Cricetulus griseus: one gene and its partner. The protein of the gene in region 2 purifies or fractionates together with the protein of the main gene of each other region. This does not show direct contact. Links are inferred from orthologs where the notes say so. Each region holds a gene or a part of one and is shown on either strand. Other genes may lie near its edges.

Region 1 (3,819 bases), on a different chromosome or scaffold from region 2:
ATCAGTCCAATAAATGTTTGTTGAATGAATGAATGACTCCAAAGGCTCTTCACTACAAATAGCACTCATCCATCCAACAGGGAAGTCAGGAAACACGCCTTGACTCCAGCGGCATCCATGGAGCCCACACTCTGCGCAGCCCAGGGCCCTCAGACCTTGCCACCAGCACGCTCGGGGCATGTGTGCGCACACACAGACACACAGTTGTCTCTTTGCACATGTGCACCCATCTGGCCCTGGAGGCTCATCTCTCCTTCACATGGTTCTGTGCTCCAGAAGCTCCACTGCTGGCCCCATCCCCAGTGGCACCACTGCTACCCGGGCTGCTGCACAGCACCTCAGTGAGGTCGTCCATGACTGCAGTTTCTTTGGGGTCGAGCAGGTTGAACTCTCTGGCGAAGAGGATGAAGTGCACGTACAGTGTGTTCAAGTGTCCGTGCAGCTCAAGGGCCAACGTCTCCTTGAAGTGGGCCCAGTAGATGTGGCCCAACACATGAAACAGATACTTGCAGATCTTCTTCACCAAGGACTCGAACGAGCTGGGGAATTCTCTGCCTAGGGGGAGGCCACATGTCACAGACCTGTAAGGAGGTCAAGCTCCTACAACTAGGCTTTCTTGGATGGACCTGAAGTGCTCACACCTGTTACCACTCCTCCACAGAGTTCCCAGCAATCTGTCCCTCAGAGTGGCATGTGCCCAGAGTGATAGGCACTGGCTGAGCCATGCTGGTCACCTGCGCAGCAAATGGGCCTACAGGTTCCATGCTTCCTCCAGCAGACACCCCAGGGCTATCTGTAGACCAGGTAGTGGAGGAGTAACAAGTACACAGGAATCCCTGTAGGTCACTGCTGGCCTTTTGCTGCTCAGGATGAGTTCTGAGCCCCCATCAGGACCTTGACAGGTCTGGAAATACTAACCACAGCAAGATGGACTGTGATAGCCTCATTGTGCAGAGCTGGTAGCAGGGACCGAGTGGGGCCATGTAGTGGGTCCCAGAGTGTAGGTGGGTATTTGACTCTAGCTGGGCTGAATCCTGTATGGGAACTTCCCTCCCTCATTAGCCCAGGTCCCCCTTGCTGAGCAGGAGCCAGAGTTCCAAAGTTGTAGGCCTTCTAGACCTCACTTGCAATCATACCCCAGAGACTCTCTAGCCCAGCGCTGAAGAACTTACTGGCTTTACATAAGGATTTAGGTACAAGCTGCAAGAGACATACCGTATTTTGTGGGGAACACATCTTCATCAGTTACCAGCTTCTGCACAGAGCTCATGACAAAGTCAACATACTGGGGGGCAGTGCACTTGACCTTCTTCCCCCGCTCGTCATACCAGTAGTATTGTCTGTAGGGACAGAGACTTTGGTCAGGGTGCCAACCCTGCCAAACACCCGCCCCAGTTCAGGCTCCCACTCATACAACACAAACGCAAAGGCAATAGAATAAGGCAAGCAAGCTAAATACAACTATTCCAATAGGACACACAGAGTGCTCAGAATAGCATCTGAGGAGAGCAAGGGCTTCATGTACAGAAGCGAGAATACAGGGAGCCCAATGTGACACTTTCATTTTGCCTAGCTCTGCAGATTTCATTTCTTCTAAATAAATCTGTATTTATTGTAAATAAATTCCTTAAAATTAATTGGGCACAGGTATCTGTCTAGGAGGTGGCCTGAGACTGGTCAGAGAGCCTAGACCGTTGGTGGTGCCCTTTCCCAGAATTAGAAATCACTTTCCCCATGGGGAATAGATACTTGCAGTAAAGTGACCTGACCCCTGGAGACCCACCCCAAACTCTTTAGCCTGTGCATGGGGTAGCCAATGCTCGTAAGATTGCTAGTTCTGAGAAGACCAGCATCAGGGATGAGGAGACACTGAGTATATTGAGTTGCTGGGTCTTAACCTTGTGCAGAATGACAGTTACTCTGTGTTCTGCCAAGAGGAGCTGGTGCTACCCTTGGTGCACTGACTGCTGCCCCCTTAGGCATCTCCTTGGGAAAGCTTGGATGAAGGACTCACATGGGCCTCTCACAAGCCTCTGGTATCTGGCCATGCTGTGGGAATGTCACACCACCTAGGTGCTCTGGATTCAAGGGCACAGCATGCTCTTCTAAGCTCCTGCTGAGGGCTTGTGTTTCCTTCCAATTGGAGACAATTATAGACCACACTGTTACATATGTTCCCATGGTAGGGGTGGGGAGGGGCGTTCTGTGTAAACACAAGTTTTCATGTCTCTAAAGCAAAAGCCAACAACAGGATTATGGCCACAGCAGGTCTGCATCATTTCATGAGAATGTGTCAATGTTATCCTATGTGCTATGCCACCTGCACCCCACCAGTATGGCATGTGTTCCCCAGCACCTAGTGTTCTGCAATACCCCATGTAGGTTTCATTTGTGTTTCTTTAACTCCCCAGTGCTGAATATCTTCTTAGTGGCTCACTGCCATACTGTCACTGTGCAACCAGTCCTTCCCCATTCTTGTCAATCAAACTGCTACTTGCATGCTGCTGCACTGAGAGTTCTCTGCATGTCCTGGATACTAGTTCTTGTGCAACAGGTGCCTCCCAGATGTTTCCACATAGTCTGTATTTGTTGCTTCTCCTCATAGTTGTCTTTCTTAGAATAAAAGTTCTGAATCATCATAATAAAGTGATGGGCTGAGTCCTCTTCATCAGTGGGCCACTCCTTTGCTATAATGTCCGATAGCCTAATGCTAGGTCAGATAAAAGCCTGTGTCTTCCCATTTCTGCATCAGGTGTGAGGCTTAAAGTTGAGGTACTTTCCCTTTCCTCTGTGTAAAGTTGCATTTCACAGCAGCAGTTATTGAGAAACAAAACAAAATTTCAAAGTAAAAACATAGTGTTTCATGTTCCAGATTTCTCTACTCAGTTCCAATGGCCAAGTCATCAGAAATCAAAGACTGTGCTTGAGTTTCCTTCTGGATTCTGCTCTGCCCCACTAACTTTTGCCTCACCTTTGGGCAACACTATACTGCCCTGTCACAACAGTGTATCTTCAAACTGTGGGCCCTTCCAGCTGCACTGTTGTGAGTAACTCTAGCTACCCACTTCTGTGTAAATTCCAGAACACACGAGTCTAGTAGCTAATAGCTCTGAGGAGTTTTAATTGGGGATACACTAAACCACAAATTTGTTCAGCGTAGATCTGTACGTTCAGCTTGTTGTCTTCCAATCCACCAACACGGTGGGGCTGTTCATGTGCTGTCCTTCTGTGGTTTCCAGAAACAGAGCCCTCTGAATGCTAAGTTTATACCTAAGCATTCTGTTGCTTCTGGAACTATTGTAAATGGTTCTGATTAGTTAGGGTTTCAATCATACACAGCTAGCATGCGGACCTGTGACTGTTTCTGTGTGCTGATCTTCCAGTATTTATTTCATTGCTGGACTCCTTCAGGGGCTCACCTCCAGAAGCCTAGTTCTTAATACCATGACCTTGGGAGTGAGGATTCATTAATAAGTATTGAAGAACTTATATATGCCAAAGTGTACATTTGGATTGAGTGAGTGTTCATTTGGTGAGTGACTAATTTATGCTGAAGTTCAGCATTATGCATGCTAGCAATTGCTCTGCTACTGAGCCATATCCTCAGCCCTGTTTAAAGTTTTATAAGAGACAGAATTCTGCTATGCTGTCCAAGCTGGGGGTGATCAAGCCAGAGTGGCAGAGCTCCCATGGCCAGTACTCATGCCTTTCAAAAAGAGCTGTTTGTTGTTCATGAACCAAGAAGCTCTTCTTAGAACCACAAGATATACCAGTGCTGTTCAGTAACCTCCATTGCCGGCATTTGGTTATGGCAGTTCA
Region 2 (3,819 bases):
GCCCCTGACGTAACTCGATGGAGTTACGTTCTAAGGAAGGCAGCCTGTGAGCGCGCTTTTTGTTGCGGCCTCAGATCAAGCTGCTGTAGGTTCTCCCACCTGGATCTTTGGTGAGCAGAAGCTGAGGCTCAGAGAGCAGCTCACATGAGTAGTGAGCAGAAGTCAGGGCCACTGGACGCAGCCTTTTCCTCCCTTTTGAAGTAGAAGAAGGGTCTCTCCTCAGCCCAGCATCCTGTGTTCTGTCCACAGTGCCTGACTCAGCACCTGTCAGTCAGCCTTACATGTGACACCCTGCCTTACATGTCACCAGTAAGGGGGTGCTTGTCCTGTGCTTCTTCCTGTACTAATCCACACTCAGATGTTGTCTGAGAGGTTCAGAATGCCAGTTTGACAGGATGCTGCTTTGTAGGCATATTCCACAGTCGGAACACCAGACTACATTGCTCCAGAAGTCTTCATGCAGACTGGCTACAACAAACTGTGTGACTGGTGGTCCTTGGGAGTGATCATGTATGAAATGCTAATAGGTGAGTCCTGTTTACATGCATGATACATACCTCTATTGGCAGATACTTCTATTGGTACATACCTCTATTGGCAGATACTTCTATTGGTACATACCTCTATTGGCGGATACTTCTGTGACAGACAAAAATAGCAGAGCCATTTTTAATCTATTCCCCACCTTCTTCTGCCCAGGATCCCTATGGCTTCCCTTATCGGATGCCATATGCAGGGTTCGGATAAGATGAGGTGGGGCTTTACATCCTTATGGACTTCATTAGTAGTTTTACAGTAAACCAACACCTATAAGAAACAGATGTCGCTACAGAACACTCAGGTTTTTTTCTCGTGGCGTGTACTTGTAGGTCTGGTTGAACTGATCACCAAAGCTGGTAATTTTTGTTTCCCTGACACCCAGGCTTCCCACCTTTCTGCTCTGAGACACCTCAGGAGACATATAGGAAAGTTATGAGCTGGAAGGAAACACTGGCATTCCCTCCAGAAGTGCCTGTCTCTGAGAAAGCCAAGGACTTGATTCTCAGGTTGGTGACTTAAAACTTCCCAGTGCCCACACGAGCTGTTTCTCTGAGGCAGGGCAGGTGTTTGGGGGCGGGGAGAGAATGCCGAGTGATCTGGTCAGTTTTAATAGAGGATTTACAAAATTCAAACTCTAAAAAGACTTTATTAATTTTTATGTTTAAGTGTGTTGGGTATTGCTCATGGAGGCTAGGAGATCCCTAGAGCTGGAGTTACAGGCAGTTGTGAGCCACCTAGTGTGGTTTCTGCGAATTGAACCCAGGTCCTCTGCAAGAGCTGCCAGTGCATTTAATTACCTACTTCTCCTTCCCTCCAAAACGCCAATGCTTACAAAGAAGTTTGTGGGAAAGCGGGGTTTAGATCAGAGAAGAGATCTTCTTGGACATACTGATATTTTTAGCAAAGGGTCACTTCTGTTAGACTTCAGGACTGGGTGTGTCAGAAACGAAAGGAGGGTAAATGTATTAGAAGCAGAAGCCCCTGCCATGAAAGTCACAGGCACCTAAGCAGAGGGCGGTGGGAGGAGGTGCTGCAGCACTCCTGTGAGGGGAGAAAGAGCTGTTGTAACGACTCTTTTTCTGTCCTCCAGCCAGCTCCCAAATAATGACACAGACTCCTCATTAATGAAAGCTCGGCCTGTAGCTCAGGCTTGTTCCTAACTAGTTCTTATCACTTAAACTAATCCATTTTTATTAATCTGTGTTTGTCCTGTGGTATTTACCTCTCTTCTTGTTTCCTCTCCGTGTCTCCTGGTTTCTTCTGCGTGTTTAGATCCTCCCCTCTTCCTCTCTCTCCCTGGGAGTCCCGCCTGTACCTCCTGCCTAGCCAATGGCCATTCTGCTCTTATTATGGCAGTCACAGCAATGTATCTTCACACAGTGAACAGACATCCCCAACAGGATATGAACTGTGACAAGCCTTGTCAGTGGACAGCTGGCAGCGTACTGTATAGAATTGTTAAACTATACATGGCCTTTGACCAGCAGTTCTATTTCTGGGAATTTAATAGAGCGTGTTACCATGTAGGAGCAAAAAGAGTTAGGCACATTTCTTGTGTTATTTTAGTTGTGAAAAATTGGAACTCACCTAAGTCTTCAGCAGCATCGATGGATGTAACACTACGATGTCTCCATACACAGGTCTCAAAAAATTACCTCACAGGAAAATACTGAACAGCGCTGCGAAGTTTTCTTAGTACATTAAGTGATAAAAGTCTTAAAGTAATCATGTCAGCCCTGTTTTAATTATTTCAAGCAATGAAAGAAGTGACTGCAGAATGTCTGTGGGTGATTGTACTTCTCCATGTTTCTCCTACCCCAGTGTACTCAATCACTAAATTAGAATGCTTCCTAGAAACACTTGAAGGGATACAATCAGAGTTGCAAGTGAAGTATGTGGCTGACGTCTGTTTTCCCTTCCTAGGTTTTGTACCGACTCTGAAAACAGAATTGGGAACGGTGGTGTAGAAGAGATCAAAGCCCACCCCTTCTTTGAGGGTGTAGACTGGGGCCACATCAGGTATGTTCTGAGGCCTGGGCTGACAAAGGGAGCTTCTGGATTGGTGGTTAATGTGCCTCTGATTCTTATAGACCCGAGGTTCTCAGCCTGTAGTTCATGACCCCTTTGCGGGGTTGAACGACCTTTTCACAGCAATCGCCTAAGACCATCAACAAACACATTCATAACAGCAGCAAAATTACCGTTTTGAAGTAGCAATAAAAATGGTTTTATGGGTGGGGTCACCACAGCGTGAGGAACTGCACTAAAGGGTCACAGCGACAGGAAGGTTGAAAACCACTGTTATAGACGAAATACAAGAGGCAGCTCTGCCTCATCTGAGACGTCATAGACTTGGTCTGCTGCTCTGCTTCCCTGTGTCTGTTACGGAAAGGTCGCAGAGCAGAGCCTGGCCTGTCTAAGCTCAGTGCTAGTTGGGGACAGAGGCCAAGGTTGTGGCTCTTTCCACCCAGTTGAGTCTTAACTAGACTTCCATAGTCATCGTGCCTGGGTCTAGAAAGTCTAGGTAAGACACCATGGACAAGATGTCAACAGTTCCTCAGGGGAAGATGAGAAATGTATGGTGTGTGCTCATGAAAGTCCTGGGCACACAGTGGGACCTCTAGTGAAGGCGCATATTACTCTTAGTTAAGACTAATTCTTGTATAGACACAGACAGTACGTGCTTTTTCATAGTGTGGTAGGCTTAGCACCCAGTAGATCCTTTAAAAATTTGTTGAAAAAAAGTAAATAAAAGCTGATAAAGGGCCTTTGAGGTGATTCAGCAGGGAAAGCCTGGAGACTCAGTTCAATCCCCAGTCCTGCGTGGTAGGAGGAGAGAGCCAACAGCTGAATGCTGTCCTCTGACCTCTACACTTGTGGGGTTTGTGTGTGTGTGTGTGTGTGTGTGTGTGTGTGTGAGAGAGAGAGAGAGAGAGAGAGAGAGAGAGAGAGAGAGAGAGAGTGAGTATAACTTAAGTTTTAAGTGTAATTTAAAAGTTTTAAGTGATGGTTTCTTTTAACTATTTCTATAGTTAAATGTATCTACTACCATAAGGCATTTTTTGTGGAGGTATTTTTTTTAACCTAACCTCTCTGGTTCTCTTAAAATTTATATGACTGACAAGTTTTTGCATTCGGATTTTATCACTGACATGTATGTGTGCCCTCTTTTGCACAGGCTCACTAATCCTCACTAGACTTGTAGCCCTGACTCACTTAGGTAGATCTCACTGTCTCCACAGACTCCATATCACCTATAAATCTCAGTGAGATGCCGTG

The links.
Region 1: the proteins of Stk38l (region 2) and Mob2 purify together in Homo sapiens (affinity purification with mass spectrometry; 9 studies listed by BioGRID and IntAct, counting the BioPlex papers as one, with this or other methods). This does not show direct contact. The link is inferred for Cricetulus griseus from reciprocal best matches to the Homo sapiens genes STK38L and MOB2.

Annotation. Positions count from the first base shown.
Region 1 is NC_048596.1:59,174,965-59,178,783, reverse strand, and holds part of Mob2 (MOB kinase activator 2), read right to left. Parts: intron 1,341-3,819; coding exon 1,216-1,340; intron 556-1,215; coding exon 245-555; 3' UTR 1-244. UniProt on the Homo sapiens protein: Stimulates the autophosphorylation and kinase activity of STK38 and STK38L.
Region 2 is NC_048601.1:2,943,383-2,947,201, reverse strand, and holds part of Stk38l (serine/threonine-protein kinase 38-like), read left to right. Parts: intron 1-409; coding exon 410-527; intron 528-922; coding exon 923-1,046; intron 1,047-2,463; coding exon 2,464-2,559; intron 2,560-3,819. UniProt on the Homo sapiens protein: Involved in the regulation of structural processes in differentiating and mature neuronal cells.